Neurospora crassa OR74A: one gene and its partner. The protein of the gene in region 1 interacts with the protein of each later gene in a pairwise test. Links are inferred from orthologs where the notes say so. Each region holds a gene or a part of one and is shown in the gene's direction. Other genes may lie near its edges.

Region 1 (9,545 bases):
CTGCTCCATAAGCTGCACAGACTCGGACAATTGTGCTCGCATCTTGGCGAGCTCTTTCTCCATCTTCTCAATCTGTGCATCTGAAGCCATTTTCTGGGCGTTGGTGACCTAGACCTCATTGTTAGCATGAGTGATACCGAGCACGTAGGACACGCGGCCATTAATCACCTCTTTAGTCTTCTCATACTCCTCCTCTGCCGCCCGCACCCGATGCCCGAGAGCCTCGACCTCATTACGCTTATCTTCGATCGCCTCCTTAGCGCGATCGAGCAAGTCATGGTCTTCCATCATGACATCCATAGCTACCTTTCTCCTCTCCGAGACCTCCTTCCTGAGTGCCAGGAAGGTGTTCTTAACTTGGCCTCGGAGATCCAGGTTCAGGATATGCGCAGGCTGGTATCCCGTCGTGGAGTCGGCCAGCAACCTCTCATTCTCCACGCCGCCCAGTGGCTGCCCGTTTGGCCCCAATACACCTTGCATCGATGAAGCAAAGTTGGGCGTTCCCTCGTTTACAGTTACCTGCAGTTCAAGATTCTTCCCCTTGGCATTGACTGCCGTGGCTGGGATCAGTCCGATCTGGTAGGCGACCGTGTTGTACTTTTCAACCAGCCGCTCGAGCTCGTCCAGACGCTGGCTCGCCTCCATCTCGCGCTCGGCGACCTTTTTTTTGACGTCTTCGAGCCTCTGGGAAGCGGACTCGATGCTCCTTTGAAGACGTTCCCGCTCTGAGGTCATGCGGTCAATATCCTGCATGCTGATCCCCTGGTCGTCCACCGCCTTTTGCATTTGTCGCCGCTCCTCCTCGGCCTCCTTCAGCTCCACGTGCAACTTGCCCAGCTCCTCCCGGAGAACCTGGATACGGTTTTCGTACTTTTCTGTCCGCTGCATGGCTAGAGTGTTGTACTCTTCAAACTTGATCTTGTCCTCCTCCATAATCTTAAAGTGGTTGTCCAAGATGGCCGGGTCGGGTGTCGACTTTTCGAGCTCCTGAATCTCCTTTAGCAGGCGGGCGTTTTCCCCTTCGAGAATCTCCAGTTCTTGGATGTACTTTGCGTTTGACCGTTCAAAAGCCTCCGCCATTCCCTGCACATGCGGCTGTAGTGCCCTCTCCACGTCTTCATCCCCTGCTTCGTCATCCATATTGAGCCAATCCTGGTATGCGCTGGTGAGGAAATCAAAGATGATCTGGTCGCCCGCAATGTCGACCCCGGCTTCCATACAGGCGTCGTCGTACTGGTGTCGGGCGTATCCTTCGAGCATCTGTGCCAACTGCATCATCCAGTGCAGTAATCCCAAGAAGGTGCTCCAATTCTGACCTCCGACCGCGGCGATTTGGCTCTTGGTGATGCTCTTCTCGTATGGGTATCGCAGTTGTTTGAGTAATGGTGGTACCTCCTGGTCGATATTCTTCTGAAACCGGTAACTCGGGTCTATCCTGTGGTAAAGCCATTGAAACAAGTAGTTGAAGTCCTTCTGTGTCGGCGACTTTGTGAAGTTGTCGGACAGCTTGTGGTTCATCTCCATCTCGAAATTGTTCTTGGCGAGGTACTCGAGCAACTCCTGGCCAATGCGATTTTGGAATTGACGGTCTTTGAGGGGGCGCGGATCGCGAGGCACGCCGGCGGGCTGGGGCGCTTGCTGGAAGAAGCTCATATGCCCACCAGCTAAGGGACCTCCGCCGACGGCCGACGGTCGTGCGCTTGGGCGGTAGACGCTGCTTCGCCGGTCGAGTTCTTGCGATGATCGAGGAATACCGGAACTGCCTGGGGTGCCATAGGGCTTGAACTGCGACGTGTTCATGTTATGAACCGACGCGCGCTTTACCGAGCCCAGGCCAATGTCGGAGGATCGCTGGAACAGAGGTTGGCTCGGTCGCGGGAGGGCCAGAGATTGCCTCCCCGACAGAGAGCGACCATGGCCCGTTCCTATTGTGCCGATGGTGCTTTGTCGCTTAAGTGTGGAGGGTGGTGCCGGAATGCCCGACGTGAGGTTGACGCCATGGAGAGTCTACAGAGAGAGCAGAGTCAATATCGTGCATGGTCGCGTCGGATGGGGAGAGGTTTCGACCGAGGAAACACGCCGCAAAGAAAGTCACGGGGGGAAGTCGCACCTCCCTTGGCCGTCGAACACTCCAAAGGCCTGCGTTGCTGTCTTGCGACATGACGGCAAAGGCCTCGTCAATGTGCGCCTCCCTTTTGCCGTCCTAGTCGCGTGGTTTCCGTGATAATATATAAGCAAGCGAACAAAAGAGTGTTACACTACGTGCAACTGTGTCGGATCGATGTCGGCGATGATTCTCTTGGTGGTGATTATGTCGGATAGCTTTGTAGAGCTAAGGTATGCGCTCGAGTTAATGTGGGTACGTGTTCGCGGCTCTGACAGAAATCAATGCATAACCGCAGTCGCGGATTTCGTCGTGTCGTAGCGATAAAAGTACGTGTACGGCCAGCAACCTAATGCAGGCCAGCATAGGTATGTAGGTAGATTAAGACACCGTAGTGTAGACGGGACTAGGTTGTCGACTTCTGCGGATGGTGGGGGAGGTTGCTCCGTCAGGAAGAGTAAACAAAAGAAAGGCGACGTGGGTGGGGCTGTGGAAATCATTGGGCTGAACAGTGCCAAGTGCACTCCAGTTCTCGTCCCCAAGCATCGGGACGGCAGGTGAATGACGGGAGTGGGTCCAAAAGCGACCTTGAGGGTGAGTGTTGGCTCGCTTCAGGTCAGTGCTTTTTCAGCTCTGCACTCCCGTCTCTGAGCCAGTCACTGCATGGAATGGATGCTCAGCTGCGCTCTAGGCCTGTCGGAGGAAAAGGAGAGTCAGGGGAGGAGATAGTGATTTATCTGATCAGCATGCCTCCACGAGTGTGCTGGGGGTGCAAGTGATGCGAAGCTGTTAAGGTGCTATTAGCAGTCCACGTCTAGTGTACAATCAGGCCCCCGGTCCCGTGAACCTCGGCTTCAGGACTCCATCCAGCGGCCCAGCCATCCCCCGAACCGCTGCCAGTCAGTTCGTTTCCACTTCATCTATCGCATTCAGCCTCCCGTCCTTCGATAATCATTCCATCAACCGCCGCCGTCTGCCATCGCGTCGCGACTGTTTCAGCTGTCTGCTTCTTTCCTCTCGTCTGCCCAGTCTCAACAAGGGAACGCCATCTGCCGCATTTCGATCAAACAACATCAGTCATGGCCATCCGCGAGGACCTGGTCGCTTCGGCGGCGCAGTGTATGTTCTGCCCCTGTCTTGTCCCCTGCTACCTCCTCTACATTGCCAGGCCAGAATCTCACCCGACAACAACACCACAGTTCTTCAAGACCCCAGTGTCGCCGCCTCGCCAATCGAGAAGCGGATAGCCTTTCTCCAAGCAAAGAACCTCACCCAGGAAGAAGTCAGCGCTGCTCTCGCCCGCGCCGAATCAGGAGGTCCACCGCCACCGTACGCCCAGTCGCCCGCCTATGCGCAGTCGGCCGGACCCGTCGCAGCACAGGGTGGCTCTCCGCAGTACTATGGCTATCCCCCATACGCATGGCCGCAATCGAATACCGACGGTGTCAGGCGGGACTGGAGGGACCTGTTCATTTTGGCGACCGTAGTCGGAGGCGCGTCGTACGGCCTATACAATCTCGGCAAGGTAGGCCGCCGAACACCGTGCAATGTACATAAAAGGAAATTCTAACCGTTCGGCAGCGCTATGTGTATCCTTTGATTGCTCCTCCCACGCCGGAGCGTCTCGAGCAGGACAAGAAGTCCATCGACGAACAATTCGACAAAACATTCCAACTGGTTGAGCAGCTGGCCAAGGATACCGAAATCCTCAAGGCCTCGGAGCAGGAAAGGACAGAGAGACTCGACAATGCCCTCGAGGAGCTGGAGACTGTCGTCAGGGACCTCAAGGCAGCCAACAGACGCAGAGACGACGAAGCACAGAGAGTACGGGACGATGTGCAAAATCTCAGGGACTCGATTCCAAGGGCACTCAACAACCAGAAGGACTTGACCGACAACAGGCTGCGCGAACTCAATACCGAACTCAAGAGCCTCAAGACCCTCATCTCGCAACGCATGAACCCAACCGCCACCTCGACGAGCGTCAACAACTACCTTCGCCCCAATACTAACGGAAACGCCACTCCTTCTTCAGCCCCTGCCACGCCAGCCCTCGGCGGTGAGAACGGAGACTTAAACAGCAGAGCCGCGAGTGCGCAGGATGAGCAATCCAGATACCAGCAGGAACAGCAGTTCGCTCAACCTGCTGCCCCCAAGCCTTCGCCTTTCAGCAGCGGAATTGCCTCTGCAGGCAAGCCGACTATCCCTGCTTGGCAGTTGGCCATGGCCAACAAAACCGCGTCGGCTTCGACTGTCGGAGTCACGAACGGTACTACAAACGATGGCTCAAGCAGCAACGGAGGCGACGAAGCCGCTTAAAAAGCTGTTCTCCAGTCAGGCACAAAGATAAAATAGCACCGGAACTGGGAAACCTGGATACATTAATCGGCATGAGCATAAGGCCAAAGTGAGCGACTCCCTCTGGTTTTCTGTATAGTAATAAAGCTCCTGTACGTTGTTCAAGCAGGACAATACACAGGAGCACTTGTGAAGCATGGGACAACCTCATTCAGTCCCCTTTCCATGATAGCGCGTTTGTATTTCTGCAAGGTCTTTAAGCGCGGACGTTGCATGGCATTTTCCTAGAGCATGATATCAAAAGCTACCATTTTCACATCTTATAAGGTTAGGCCGTGAATTGATCTGAGACATCCCGTACACCTGACCGCCCAGTATTTCTGCCTCACTATTTTGACCGCTGCTATGGCATTGCCGAGACAAATTTTTGGTTATTGTCCTCAGCCACCCAAAAAAACTGGAGGGGAGGGGCAAAAAAAAAAAAAAGCCATGATCGAATAGAGATGCGCAAACGGTCAAAGAGGGACAACTGGCTTTGGTTATGTCGCCCTCTATTCAGGACTTTCAGCCACATCGGTACAGTCAGAACACCGCGGCCTCTGTAGAGAACTAAAGGATACATTGTAGTGTAGGTATTGATGTCGCTGCCAAATCATTACCTCAGCGTAGCATATGCGTACCCGAGAGGTCGGATGCGGAATATTCTCTGTTAAGACATCCCGGGTTCAAGGTACATACACCTTCGTGCCATGGTTCAGTTTCCAATCGCATCTAATAGTCCTCGTAGCTATTACTTGATCGGGCAATGCTTGCTTGGAACCAAACATTGACCCCACCCATCATCCCTTTCTTCCTGTGCCAATGTTCTCATAGCGCCTTCGTCTCGCCCAAACCCGAAGGGGATATTGGCCACAAAGGGGATGCAAGTCAAGTCCGTCGCTCTGGATACGTATTGTTTCTGCATTGCTGTTCTTCGCTTAGCTCTCACAACTCGCTCTTTTTCTTAACCACCTGCCGGATATAATGATAAATGATATTACCACCCCGCAGATTCGCTGAGATATCTGCGCTCGCAAGCCTTCCCCAATCTCCACGCGGACGCGCTCAAGAAGATGATTAGACAAGGAGCGCCTACAGGCTGTTACAACACAAACGGAATCCCTAGATACCCGAAATGCCCCATTGTTATTATGGATCTCGGGGTCTAATATAAGAAGAGAACTCGCCCCTGTTGATCTGATACCATGACCCCAACACCCAAACCCATCCGTCACCTCTAAACCCACCAAGAAGCCCGCCGCCATGGACAAGACCGCTCTCTTTCTCCAGCTGGTATCCAAGCTCCCGCTGATGGCCCGGGTGGCTCTGCTTCACATGTTGCAGGCCTCACCGGCGTCAAAATACCAGGATTTGCGGACGGAACTCACTATTGCCATGCTCCGCTCGTTCATGGACGTGCCCAAGCCTAGGAGCATCACTTTTACCCAAAAGATGCTCTCAAGAGTACCCCCGATCCGGGGCACGATATGGGTCAGCAAGTACACTCTGCCCATCCCCACGGAGGAGGATGCGCGCGCCATCCATGACACCTTGAGCAAGGCCATCGACGGGCTTCAAGACCGTGACCAACCGAAGACGGCCAGGATCCAAGTACCAGAAGTTCTTCCTGTGGAGGCGGAGTGGACAGCACACAGGCCGGGTGTGCCCAAAGATGCGAAGCTGCCCGATATCCCAGAACGGGAGAAGTATGACGAGATGATGAAAGACGTAAAAGCCCCAACCACGATACTCTACTTTCACGGCGGCGCCTACTGGCTCATGGACCCGGCCACACACAGGCCTACATGCAGAGAACTAGCCAAGCGGACCGGCGGCAGGTGTTACTCGGTGCGTTACCGGCTTGCGCCGCAGAACCCGTTCCCGGCCGCGGTCATGGACGCACTAGTCTCGTACCTCGGCCTGCTCTACCCACCGCCCGAGGCATTCCACGAGCCCGTGAAGCCAGAGCACATCGTCATCGCCGGCGACAGCGCAGGCGGCAATCTCTCGCTCGCGCTTCTCCAGCTCATCATGCAACTGCAACGCTCCGGCACCACCGTGTTCTGGCTCGGCCATGAGCGCTCCATCCCCCTACCCGCCGGCGTCGCCGTCAACTCGCCCTGGATAGAAATCACCCACAGCTCGCCGTCGTGTGTCACCAACGGTGCCTTCGACTACCTCCCTGGCCTCGAGGCGCAGGACAAGGCCGAGAAGTTGCGCGCCCCGTGCTCGGCCTGGCCCACGAATCCGCCGCGCATGAGCATGTACGTCGCCGACGATTACATCATGCACCCGCTTGTGTCGCTTTTGCTGGCACCCAGCTGGCGTGGTGCGCCGCCGACATACATTTGCACGGGTTGGGAGATGCTGTCGGACGAGGACAAGTTCACGGCAGCAAGGTTTCATGCCGAAGGGGTTTCTGTGACGTTTGAGGAGTACGAGGGCATGCCGCATTGCTTTGCCATGGTGTTGAAGAACTTGAAAGAGGCGGATAGGTGTATGGAGGGGTGGTCGAGGTTTATCGCAAGGGTCACGAATTCGACTGCCTCTGAGGGAGGGCTTGATGGTGCTGATGATAAGCGGAGCGCGATGAGGAGCACGTTTACCACGATCAAGTCGGGGACGCTGGAGGAGAAGGAGCTGGATCCTATGACGCTGAGCCCCTATACGGAGGAGGAGATTAGAGAAAAGATGAGGAGGAGGATAGAGTTAAAATGCGTGCCGGCCTCAGAGGGAGATCTCGCAAAACTTTGAATGTCGGGTTGGTGAATTATCGTGTGTGGTTGTTTGGGCATAAGGCTCAGCAGGGTGACTAGGGCGTCGGCGATCGGTGTTGACATTATACACATAAAAGGGGCTTGGATCTTGCTGACCATATGGATCATGTATGCATGTTACCTTATGATAGTTCTGAATGAATTGTTCTGCGCCTTTTTGTTCATACACTTGTAGACATGCTGACCAACGTCTTCCGAGATGTCTCGAAGCGGGCAAGTGTTAGTCGTATACTCATCACTTACCGGGATCTCCAGGTGAACCCCACTATCAACATCTTCCACTTGAAGTAACGTTCTATCAACATAAAAAGCCCGTTGCTACCTTATCTAAGCACCCAGTGGAAATGCCAAGGGTCGAGACTTAGAGACTATGGAGTTCGGCCGAGTTGTAGCGGACATCAAATCATGAAGAAGCAGGAACAAGTTCCGTCGTATATACGGCGAGATGTTACCCCAATTACCCCCAAAAGACGTGTACAATACAGGTGTTGCGTAGCCACAATGCTCGCCACCTTTGCCACATGAGGCAGCCCTTCCGTTGTCTTTCTTGACCTGACACTCTCCCCAACGGGTATATTTGATTCGCTTCCTATCTTCATCATCACACAACAAGCGCCTATTTCCTTCGAGTCTATTTATTAGTTCCAACCAAATCAGGAGCCACTTTAAATCACCCCACCCGGCCAAATCATCACTGTATTAAGCTCAAGCAGTATCTCCACCTCTGACACTCGAGTCGATTGAGTTAACAACAACCCCTTCCAAACCCCAAAACACATCACCAAGATGTCTTCTTCCGACACCACCACCTCCAACATCCCCAACGCCTCCATGCCCGCTCAGGACAAGAAGGAGCATGAGCATGAGTCTTCCTCCCACCAAAGGCCCACCGGCGCTGGAGTGAACACCGGAGCAGGCAGCAGCAGGCCCAAGACCGAGGCTGAGTTGGAAGCTGATCGGCTTTATGAGGAGAGGATGGAGGAGGAGTATGCCAAGCGGGACGGAGGTGCTTGATCGAGCTGACGAGGGTGGCTTGAAGGGAATTGGGTTCTCTCTGCCCGTTCTTGTTTGATACCTCTTGTGCTTGACGACTTCATTGGGCTTTGGGTGTATTCTCTCAGGGAGAGGGGAACTCCGATTGCTGGTTTATGTGTGAACGCCAAGGAACAGGAGGGAAGTGGGATGGCTCCGAGAGACTCTGGAACCTGATGGTGTAGGAAATTAAGAAGAGGATCTGGGACCGAAGGAATTGGAGAAGGAGGGTAACTTGTAAGATATAGTTTTGGGAAGGTTAACAGATGTCCGAAAGGCTCCCCTCTGTAGCATGGTTTGAATTTGGCCTTGACCACCACCAATGACCATCACTAATGTATTATTGCGTGTACTGTCGTGTTCTGATATGCCTACGTAAAACGGTGATTGCCTCTTTCCAAGCCTGAAACTATCAGTTCATATCCTCACAACTCCCCCATTCCTAGTATGAAGAAGCCTGAAAGCCTCGCTTGTCTACAGGGATCACGAGATTGTCGCTTACATGTAATCATGCCATATCTTGAAGTAGCTCTCAGCAGACCACCACTTCGCAGGAAATGGTTATAGCTACAGTGATGATGGGGTGAGTTCGCGTGGAGGTGGAGGAAGGTCAAGAGCAGACTATGGATGGTGTCTAAGTGACGCCCAGGGGAAACGTGAATCTCTAAAAAAAAAAAAAAAGGGACAGGCGAAAGCACGGGACCACGACATGATGAACCGAACACTAATTATTTCTAGCTTAACTACTGATGTCATGCTTCATGAGCAAGTAAAAGAGTGGTTTATTGGGATACAATAAGATAGATACCATTCCGCTCAAAGCCGTATGCAATCCTAAACCCGTTGACTCAAAGTCATGTGGTCTAATTCGAGACCGACCCTTGGTATAGATCAAAAAGCCGACAAAACTCCGGATCCCCTCACTATCCTGCTAGTTACTGTGAAGTCCAAGCGCACCTCCGTGGTTTTATGACACCCAACAATGGACTGCCCATTCGCATACCAGCACGAGTATTCTCATAGAGTGCGTCAACCGAGTGACCCATGCTACCAGAAGGAAAGGGTAACCGGCCCCGCTCTCGACCCGTCCAGGACCTAGAAGCCCGTTTTCCCAACGCTGTAAATGCTCTGGTATCTTGTAAACTCCTAGCCAGTATTCGTGATGTGTTCCCACGCTTGATTGTAAACGAGCCAATGGACGCAAGACCGTCCAAGGTTTGTTCAACTTTAAGATCCGAATAAAATCCGTATTGCGAGGAAGAAGAAAATGCCATCCATCGTGGGATGCCATCTGA
Region 2 (10,087 bases), on another chromosome or scaffold:
AGATTCGCCTCGACGACCGCAACACCGTGGTCTCATATCTCTACGCGACGATGCCCTATTTTCCAGTGACGCGCTGGAAGCTCCGCCTGCTGCACAACCACCCAGAGGCCCTTCAGCCAACACCCTCCGACGGAGATTGCTACGACTACGACGAGAAAACGAGGGAGTTTTGCGCGAGTACTACCGACTGGGTACATCATATTCGGAGCCCATCTCGTCCATGATGTACTCCCTTGCGTCAGAACTGGGTCGTGAAGACAACGACCTGCTATGGTTAGCGATCGTTGGGGTCACGTCGATGGAGCTGTACGGCCGCTCATCTGCCGGTATTGCGGTAGCAGCTCGCAGGTCAGACGCCCGCATTTCCGGTTGGCTCGGCATGCGTGGTGCGAGAATACGGCAGCTTCTGCGAGACGAGGTCAGACGTCTCAACCCACCAGAGATAGGAAACGGCCGGGTGCTCCCCGAGACGACAGGAATTATCCCAACAACCGCTCGAAGTCCGGAGGATACCAGTATCAGGTTGTCGCCGGAGCCCAAGTTCCTGCTTATTAGGCACTGGAGTTTATACGACAGCATGCTTCACTCACCCTACCTCTTCTCTCGGCTAAAGACGTGGAGCGAGGCTGGCATGAAGCGATTACACAAGCTTCTCGCCAAGATGGGTGTCAGTCTGGTGCAGTGCAAGCAGAGTTATGCCCACATGGACATGATGTTGAAGCGCGAACTTCGCACCAAACTACTAAAATACGCGTCTCTCTACAACCTCGACGAACTTGTCCCGACCATAGACACGGACGGGAAAGATCGTGGAGGTGCCAAAGATGGATGGGGCTTTGTACGCAGTTGGGGTTGGAGGGCAACCCTGAGTGCGCAAGATGTCGGTGTCGTAGTCGGAGCCCTGTTGGAAGTGGGGAAGAACACCACTAGTGCTGATGACCTTCCTGCTGGCCCATCTCAGGATCTTCTCGACGTAGACAACAACCAGAGCCAAAGTGAGGAGTGGATCCCCAGGTTCTGGGAGGCGTATGATGCGCTGGAGGACATCGAGGCCCTTAAGGCTGGCCTTCCCACGGCGCAGTATCTACACAAGGCCATCTTCACCACTGGCACGACAATTTTGAAGAAGAAACAAATATCTCATCTGCGCGCATTTCGCATGTGCGTGGTCAAGGACTCACCAGATGCGACACTCTTCAACCACCCCGGCGCTTTGACCAAGCTAGCGCTCTGGATCGGTGAAGCACTCGCGGAACAGGAAAAAGAAGCCACTGGCGGGAGGCTCGCCCATGGCGGTCGTGGCACACCTCTCGTAGTGGCTAGTCTAGATGACAAGCGCGGAGTGTATGTTGTCGTCGGTACTGGTGGCGGCGGTGGGCCAGACACAAAGTTTCTCGATCGTGAATCGGCCAAGAAGCGAGCCGAAGAAAAAGAGGCCAAAGCTAAAGCCAAGGAGATGCAGAGAAGGATCAAGGAAAAGATCAAGGCCGAGAAGAAGGAGGCCAAGAGAAAGGAAAAAGAAGAGAAAAAGAAAGCCAAGTCCGACGCCGGCGGCGATGAGGACGAGGAGGAGGACAACGAGGAAGATAGTGACGACGACTCGGATCTCTCTGATACGGACTCGGACGACGATGATGAGTCGGACGAAGACGAGGACGAGCTCGATCAGGAACTTGAAAGGGGCTACGGCCTCAACAAATTCGGAACAGCGTTCCAAGACGTGGTGGCGGAGACTAATGCCAGAGTGCGCATCGACAGCTTTGAGCACTGCGTCGTGGAGGTCAAGAAGGAGGATCTTAGTGGCTTCTTGGAAAGTCTCAGCATGAAAGTCGTCATTGGGTGAAGGAAGGAAAAGTTTGGGTTTGCTAATTCTGGGGAAAAAAAAAAACCATGGGGGGGCGTCAAAGGGGGTTTGTTTACTTGACCAGGGGGAGTGGCAAGAGTTCATACCTGTGTCCAACAGAACGGTCGGAAGAGCCAGAACAACTCATTTGAGAGCTGGAATGGCATGGCATCGCATTGAGGCTCGGACGATTGAGCTGCACGCCGAGCTACGTACATGCAATGTAGGCACTTATAGTATTGAGGCTCGAATGATTGAGCTACCTTCAGCAATGTGCATGCATAAATGGAAAATGCTCGTCCAAGCAGATGGGGCTTAAGCAACAGCTGGAACGCCCTTTCATTTTTTTTTATTTTATATTTTTCTCTTATACCGCTGTAGTCATACGGTATATTCATTTACATAACATGCAGTGGGCGAAATACCAAATCTCAGCTACTCTCCAAAATCGGTTTGTTTCTTATGTGTTTTCTTTCTGCTTTTCATTTTGGACATACTTGTGGACAGATGTGCCGACCGCAAAATGAACCTCGTAACTCCAAGATAATGGTAAACTCGGCCCGGTTTCTCTTTCTTCCTCTGTGCTCTCTTCGCCTCTGCTAGGCTCATACTATGAGTCTCTCGCCTCACATACACAGCATTCCACCAAACAGGCAACGATGGCACTGCCCCCTTTGAGCCTTTGAGGCTTCAGGGACACTAAACTATGGTAGTCTGGTCGACCACTTGGCTACCTCCAGATAGTGATGGAGCGGTGATGTTTATATGTAGCAATCAATGCTGGTTTTGGTTCAAATGTTTTGTAAATGACTAAAGGGTTTCAGTATTGTTGGCATAGAGATTGACGTCGTTTATTGACAGCCGGTAGAGGTATGTAGGTAGGTACTAGTATACATAGTGAAGCTTGTGGTGTTGAAACAGAAAAAGTGGAGTTATATCGGAGTTTGTTACATAGTAGTAGTCCTTTCGTCATCGGTTATCTTTTCCCTCTTTTTCTCACGATCTTCCAGAAGGCCTTTTTGTTACACCAGAGTTTTCTCCCTTCTCCTTAGACCGGAATCGTCTGCCTACATACCCCATTGTACATACCACAAGAAGGAAGATCCCGTCTCTTCTGAGGAGAGAGGACAGATTCAAGTGGATTTGTTTGGATCGGTACGAGCCAGTCAATGTCTTGGCGGGCTTTGCACTGCCTCCTTTCCTTACTACGTCAGTCCCGGCACTATCTTCCAAGTAGGAAAGTCGCAAAGGTGCAAAGGAGCTGAAGAACAACCTGTTTTTCTCAGACCGCCGTGGAGGTCCGATCAGGTGGAGGGGTTTGGAAGAGAGAATGTCAATGACCTTTAATCATGTTCGACAATAGACTTCCTTACATCTTTGGTGTTATTAAAGTTGGTAGGTATTCAAGTGGTCGACCGTTTATGACGAAGTGGGGCGAACGACTTCTCATTTTGGGCTTTGGGCCTCCTCGAAGCGAAGGATGATTGGGTGTCGCAGACAGAGCCTCAAGAATGGTACCAAGGAGAATTGTTGGTACCAGGCCCGTCGGTTACATATGGTGCTTAAATATAATGGACAGAACATTAACGCGGTCGAATTTGCGCAATTCGGTGTCAAGAGGTTTGCTGTTTGACATCGAGCGCAAACTACTTGTATATCATTTACTTCCACTGTCACCCCAAAAAGTGAGATGAGCCGGCCGCCGGGCATGGGTAGTAAGTACTCCTCCGGGCTCCGGCTCGAAAGTTTAGTCCTGGAGGAAGTACATGTTGTTCGGATGGCGGCGCTAGAATCACTCTGAAGTATATCTTGCCAGAAAGTGTCTTTTCCGAAGTCGCCTCCCCAATCCTATCTCTTCATCGTACGGATCTGGGCTGCCGATTGATGTTGGTTTGGTTGAATGGTGGCCTCCGTTTACCTCCCAGCGCTCCCATCCTCCGGCGCGGGCTCTCGAGACCTGCCCTTCTTGTCACTTGGGCTCCCTGCCCGACAAATCAGAGAGCAGCAGTTTTTCCAGCCAACCTGGCATGATAGCTGGCGCATGCGCTGCCTACCTACACCCAAACGTCCAGAACCCGATCGAATTTGTTCCTTGGCCGTGCAGCCCCTGTCCCAGTTATTAGAAATCCCGCCCGTTGCCCCTCTTTGCAAATGGATGCGAATATCAACCGAGTTCCTTGGGAGAGGGGAGTGAGGGCCCCACGTAAAGTCTGAAACACACATGCTGGAGAACAAGCTGAATGTTCGGAAAAAAGTCCGCATCGATGGAAATGATGCTGCGTCGGCAGTAGTGTACCACAGCAGCATGAGCAGGTACAAGGCAGCTTTCTCAAGCAAAAGACGATGACTCGAGTCAGAAACAGCCTGGCCTCTCCATGCCAGGCCCGGCGTCAAATCGATGGATGGGAGGGAGTCGAACCTGGAAGTGAGGCGCCGCACGAAACGAGCGGGCGGATCAGGTTCCCGTCAGGTTCGAGCGGTCGGGTGTTCCTTACCTCCTGGCTAACATATGGTCCCCTGCTAGTCACCCTAGTTCCACATTTTAATAACGGCCAGGGCACTTACAGTGGTTAGCTGCAGTTAGTGCAGCAGCTCCAGGGCACTGCATCAAAGGTCGCCCATCTCGCCAGACTGCCGCCGTCATCACCTCCGATCTCCCGCGCATTTTGCCCTGCCTCTCGCCTTGCACCCTGACACTCCTGTGCTGCCAATACCTCTCTAGACCTGCTCATCCATCGATCCCATTTCTTTTTCTTTTTGCCATTACAACCCAACACCTCGACATCTTTTCCTATCTACTTCTCTTCACTCTTCGGTGCAACCCCAAGGCCACTCACTGATTGCCGCTTACCGAGTCTGCTACTTGAACTATCCTATCGGCCGACGACAATATAAATCCACCATACAAGGCTGCTTGCTCCCATCGCTCGAGCACCGTCTTGCCCTTCACACAGCGTCTCGTTACCTACGACCAAGTCAATTACAAACGTTAACGGTATCCCTGAGAGAAAACCCACGGATCGTCACCGAACCCCTCCTCCGACCTTTCGGCGCCAACCCCGTACGCGACGCCATTCCGAGTGACCCCTTTCCCTCGAACCGCCGCATCGTGGGACCACCTTGCGAACGACATCAGCATTTGCTAAATAGTACCGAGTTATCCGAAAATGGGCAAATCGTGAGTGACCAAGTCCCCCGAAATCTCCGCGACTCTTGCCCGATCAGCACCCACCACCCGACCGCTTTCTCCGCATCCCATCATCATCATCATCATCATCATCAATACGCACCGCACACCTGTTTCTCAGCAGTGGAGGAGGGACCGTGATCCGTTTTGCTGAAGTCTCCTCTACCGTCGACCTACCCCGTCCTTCACTCAATTCTACATATCATACAATGGGCCTCTTTAGCAGGAGTCGTTTCTCTGCGCAATCTCCCAAAACTGAAAGCAAGATGAAGAGGCTGACACTGAACCCCGCCCGACACAGGCAGAGCAAGCTCGAGCGTGATAAGCTGGAGGAGTTGGAAAAGGCCACCCACTTTGACAAGAAGGAGTTGCAGCAATGGTATAAGGGTGTGTTACCTATCCCCGTCCCCTTTCTCCTATCGCCGACGACCCCTTTGAACACCGCCGCCGTCGCCGCCAACGATTACATGCCCTGACCGATGCGGCGCTGTCTCCCCATCGAAAGCGCTTGCTATGCGCCCTCGTTGCCAACCAAATCTTTCGCTTCATAGACGGCCTCTAACAAGTTCATTCACAAACAGGCTTCCTCAAGGATTGCCCCTCCGGCATGCTCACCAAGGCCGAGTTCCAGAAGATCTACGCACAGTTCTTCCCCTTTGGCGACCCATCGTCATTCGCCGACTACGTATTTAACGTATTCGACACGGACAAGTCTGGCACCATCGACTTCAAGGAGTTTATCTGCGCCTTGAGCGTCACGAGCCGCGGCAAGATGGAGGACAAGCTCGACTGGGCCTTCCAATTGTACGACATTGACGGCGATGGCAAGATCACCTACGACGAGATGCTCAAGATCGTTGAGGCTATCTACAAGATGGTGGGTTTACCCTTTCTTTCTTATCTCTCTACGCCCTTTCCCGTGTCGTCGCAATCTTGTACGTTAACATTCTGATCCCTCAAAACAGGTCGGCTCAATGGTCAAGCTCCCCGAAGACGAAGATACTCCCGAGAAGCGCGTCAGCAAGATCTTCCGCATGATGGACAAGGACGAAAACGGCAGCCTCGACATGAAGGAATTCAAGGAGGGCAGCCAGCGCGACGAGACAATCGTATCCGCCCTCTCCTTGTACGATGGCCTCGTCTAACCAAGTTTCTTTTCATCAATTATCATTCGAGGTATTTCGTTTAGCCAAAGGGGGGGACGGCGCGCAACGGTCTGGCGAAGCAAATTTTACCAAGAGGAGGAGCATGATTTGATGTGTGTTGCAGCGCCAACAGGCAAAGTTTCATCTCCCCGAAACAAGGCAGAGCTGGAGTTATAAAGGGTGGAAAAGAAAGAGAGAAATCAGTTGTTCATTTGGAAGCAAGATATCCCAGGGAAAGCGTGATGGACAAGGGGAATGGTTGCGAGAAAGAAGGGAAGAGAGAGGGTTCAGCCATCTCGGCTCGGCCCAGCTCGATAAGTGTGCGCGCATACATCGATCAGACAAGATAAGAAGAAAGCACAGCTGGCCACATGCTGTTGGGGCGTCTCATCTATGGTTCCGTGGTCGGAAATGAGCCTCGCCGCTAGGTACCACCCATTCGGCCCAGTTCTTAGTCTAGATGTCGACCGGGATGTGATGGTCTTTGGGGCTGTGCTGTTCTTGGCTTAGGTCTTGAAAGAGGAGATTTCAGACCTGGTGATCACACGGATTGGATGGAAGGGAGAGGGGAAGGACATGAGAGCACATAAAGGGAAGTCGGAGTGAGAGGGGATAGAGACGGAATAAGGAGGAAGAAGAAGAGAAGGAAATCGTGATGAACGGCGTTACCTGGCTGGTATGGAACGAACGAATACACTACTACGGCTTGGTCAATTGCAACAATGGACGACCTTGACTCAGAAGTTACCTCTTACGCGTCGTGTGTGTGGATACTTTTAGGCTTGGTTTTTTTTTTTTCTTTTGAGGGTTTAGCAATTTTTTTTCAATGTTTCATCCGTTTCGAGCCCTTCATGATGTGATAACCGGGCTGTTGACTGTAATCTTTCTCTAATTCCCGCGTACTCTCCCCTACCGCCAGGTTTGTCATGAACGGAGGTTATCTTTTATTACTATTAGTTGTAAGTCAACACCGCCAACACTCCAACAAGTGACATCATCGTCATCTTGCTCGCCAAGATCAACCCGTTCTGGGATATAATATCAATGACAGTAAATTTTTTTAAATTTTTTTTTTTTCGTATTTTGTTATTTTCTTTTTCTATATTCAAGCCCCCCCCGTTTTCGTTCAAATGCGTGATGCAATGATTTCTCTGCTTACCCCATTCATGGTCGTCTATGTCTTCATTTGACCTACCTATCTCTTAGTCTTTCCTGATGCAGTTCTTCATCTCTCTCAACATCTCACTCCGTCACCTTCAAACCTTATACGGGTGTCACTTGGAAATATTCGAGACTATATTCTATATAGTCTGTGTAAGGGGATGGATGTGTCAGCGGTAATATAATTCTGCCTCAAGCAAAAGAGACGTTACTGGGAATTGGTCCGTCGTGTCCTTTTGCCACGTAGGTGAACATAACAGTGTGTACGATCAACAATAAGCAGCGTGAGAAGCAAATGCTACTAAAATGGGGTATCATCGATAGATACTCGCCCGTCCGTTTCGTATTAAACGAGCCCCAATTAAAACCCCTTCCCCAACTTGAACCCGACAAAGGAGTGGAAGCGAAGAGAATAAGAAGAGAGCTGATCCTCCTGTTGACGGAAGACCAGAGAGGAAATTCATCAAGCAAAACAGCGCAAACCAGGACCCTAGAAGAATTAGAAAAAGGGTAGTGTAGCACAAGTACATGGCAAAACTATCTCAACGCAATTGTTCGTCGCTTATTTAACAGGAAGTAGAAACCCATTACGGCATAACAGACATATAGCTAAGGGGCCTGAGGAACCCTTTCCGGTGGCCGTCGCCGACAACAGTAACGTAACGTAACATAAATAACTAGGAGTGGTATAGTGGAAACATAATTCGCGCCCCGAGACACGCATAGACATAGAGATGAACAGCAAAAACAAGGGTGTACTTTTTCATATACAACAAGAGAGATCAGGTAGGTGGCAACAAAACTCCTACTGCTTGGGGCCATAAGCCTCATCAACCTCCTTCTTGTACTTGTTGAGGATGCCCTTGCGGTTGAGCTTCTGGGCGGCCGTTACAAGACCCTGTGATTGATTTGGTTAGCGATGGGTTAGGTAAACAAATAGATGTAGACAGTGGAAAACTCACGTTCTGGGGGGTCCACTCCTCATCCGACATAACGACACCCTCGATAATCTCAATGCCAGAAAGGCCGCCGGCACGACCGGCGTTCTGGAGCTCCTTGAGAACGGCAGCCTGGAGCTTCTTGTTGTGTACGAGCTCCTCCAAGCTGTCACCCTTCACACCACTCGAGGAGGCGAGCTTCTTAAGGGCGGGTTCCGCGGGAACGATGATGGCGATGGGCTTGGAACGATCCTGGTCGGCATAGACGCAAATATTGGCGACGACGGCGGCGGAGCGGTAGATGGACTCAAGCTTCTCAAGAGCAATGTACTCGCCGTTGAGAGTCTTGACGAGGTTCTTCTTGCGGTCAATGATCTTGAGATGGCCGTTCTGGTCCCACTCGCCAATGTCGCCGGTCTTGAACCAGCCGTCCGCGGTCACAGCGGCAGCGGTCTCCTCGGGGTTCTCATAGTATTCGGAGAGCACAGAGGGGCCACGGAGCCAGATTTCACCCTGGGGGTTGGGCTTGTTAGTGGCGAAGTAACCGGCGTCGGCGAAATCGACGAGCTTGGCCTCGATCGAGGCGGGCATGGCGCCAATTGACTCAGCAGTCCACTCGTTGGGGTTCTGGAGGGTACCCATAGCGGTCGTCTCGGTAAGACCATAGCCGATAATCATGGGGCAGATGGCCATGGAGATGAACTTTTGGGTATCCTTGGCGACAGGGCCACCACCGTTCAAGCAAAGCTTCATGCGACCGCCAGTGGCATCCTTGATCTTCTTGAACACAATGGCGTCCAAAAGACCGCTTCCAGGAAGACCAAGGCCCATAAGCTTCTCCTTGAGAGCAAGTGCGCCCCAGAAAAGGTTGCGGAGGAGAGGGCTGCCAGCGTTGACCTTGGCGAGAATGCCCTTTTTGACGGTTTCCCAGACGGCGGGCACACCAACCAAAACGCTGGGTTGAAACTCGCGGATATCGCCGAGGCAGTTGCGGACGGAGGTGTCGGAGAGGGTCTTGGGGTTACCATAACCCATGGTTGAACCCCAGTAGAGGGAGGCGTTCTCGAAAACAAATTCGAGAATGTGAGCGAGGGGAAGGTAGGTCAGGAGGCGGTCACCGGGGCCAACGAAGGGCTGGACTACGGGGCAGACACCAGCGACTGTGACAAGGACGTTAGTAGCAGTTCAGGAACAAGACAATAAGAGTTTGCGGCCACTTACCGGCAGCGACGACGTTGCTGTGCTTCAGGGGGACACCCTTGGGGGTACCGGTAGAACCGGAGGTGTACATGATGCAGCAGAGATCCTCAGGGGCGGGCGCGACGGGCGCGACGGGGTTCTGCTTGCCGAGCTGGACAAGCTCGTCGAAGCTCAAGACAGTAACACCGCGCTCGTTCCTGAGGGCCTCAATGTGGGCCTCCTTGACCTTGTTCTGGTTGTTCCAGATGACGTGTGTGATGCCCTTGGCATGCTCAAGAACGCCGTTGAGGGTAGGGAGAAGATGGGGGTCGAGGAAGATGGCCTTGGCATTGGTAGCGACCATGGAGTACTTGAGACCTTCGGCGCCGAGTGTGTCGTAGGCAGTTACAATGGGCATGGACTGGGTCGCGGAACCATGAGACATGGCGAGCCAGTTCTGGCTTGTCGCGGCAAAGATGTGGACACGGTCGCCCTTGTTGAGACCGATGGCGCGCAGACCAGCGCCAACGTCGAGCGTAAGCTGCTCGTAGTCCTTGAAGGTAATGAACTCGTAGTGGCCGAGCTCGAAGTAGGTCCAGTTCTTGTCCACCTCGCGCTCCTCACCATCCACCAT

Evidence for each region. The genes of interacting proteins can lie anywhere in the genome.
Region 2: the proteins of pex14 (region 1) and cse-1 interact in binary tests that used the Saccharomyces cerevisiae proteins (3 or more experiments, as listed by UniProt). The link is inferred for Neurospora crassa OR74A from reciprocal best matches to the Saccharomyces cerevisiae genes PEX14 and FRQ1.

The regions. Positions count from the first base shown.
Region 1 is NC_026506.1:2,096,701-2,106,245, forward strand, and holds pex14 (peroxisomal membrane anchor protein), read left to right. Parts: upstream 1-2,769; 5' UTR 2,770-3,183; coding exon 3,184-3,223; intron 3,224-3,303; coding exon 3,304-3,629; intron 3,630-3,685; coding exon 3,686-4,423; 3' UTR 4,424-4,785; downstream 4,786-9,545. Other genes in the region: NCU03899 (HEC/Ndc80p family protein), read right to left, coding at 1-108, 169-2,007, 2,111-2,161; NCU03903 (lipase/esterase), read left to right, coding at 5,705-7,195; NCU03904 (hypothetical protein), read left to right, coding at 8,005-8,232. UniProt on the Saccharomyces cerevisiae protein: Component of the PEX13-PEX14 docking complex, a translocon channel that specifically mediates the import of peroxisomal cargo proteins bound to PEX5 or PEX21 receptors.
Region 2 is NC_026504.1:3,559,554-3,569,640, reverse strand, and holds cse-1 (neuronal calcium sensor 1), read left to right. Parts: upstream 1-4,520; 5' UTR 4,521-5,010; coding exon 5,011-5,021; intron 5,022-5,331; coding exon 5,332-5,417; intron 5,418-5,611; coding exon 5,612-5,907; intron 5,908-5,995; coding exon 5,996-6,175; 3' UTR 6,176-7,113; downstream 7,114-10,087. Other genes in the region: NCU04378 (DNA replication initiation factor Cdc45), read left to right, coding at 1-1,843; NCU04380 (acyl-CoA synthetase), read right to left, coding at 8,142-8,234, 8,299-9,434, 9,496-10,087.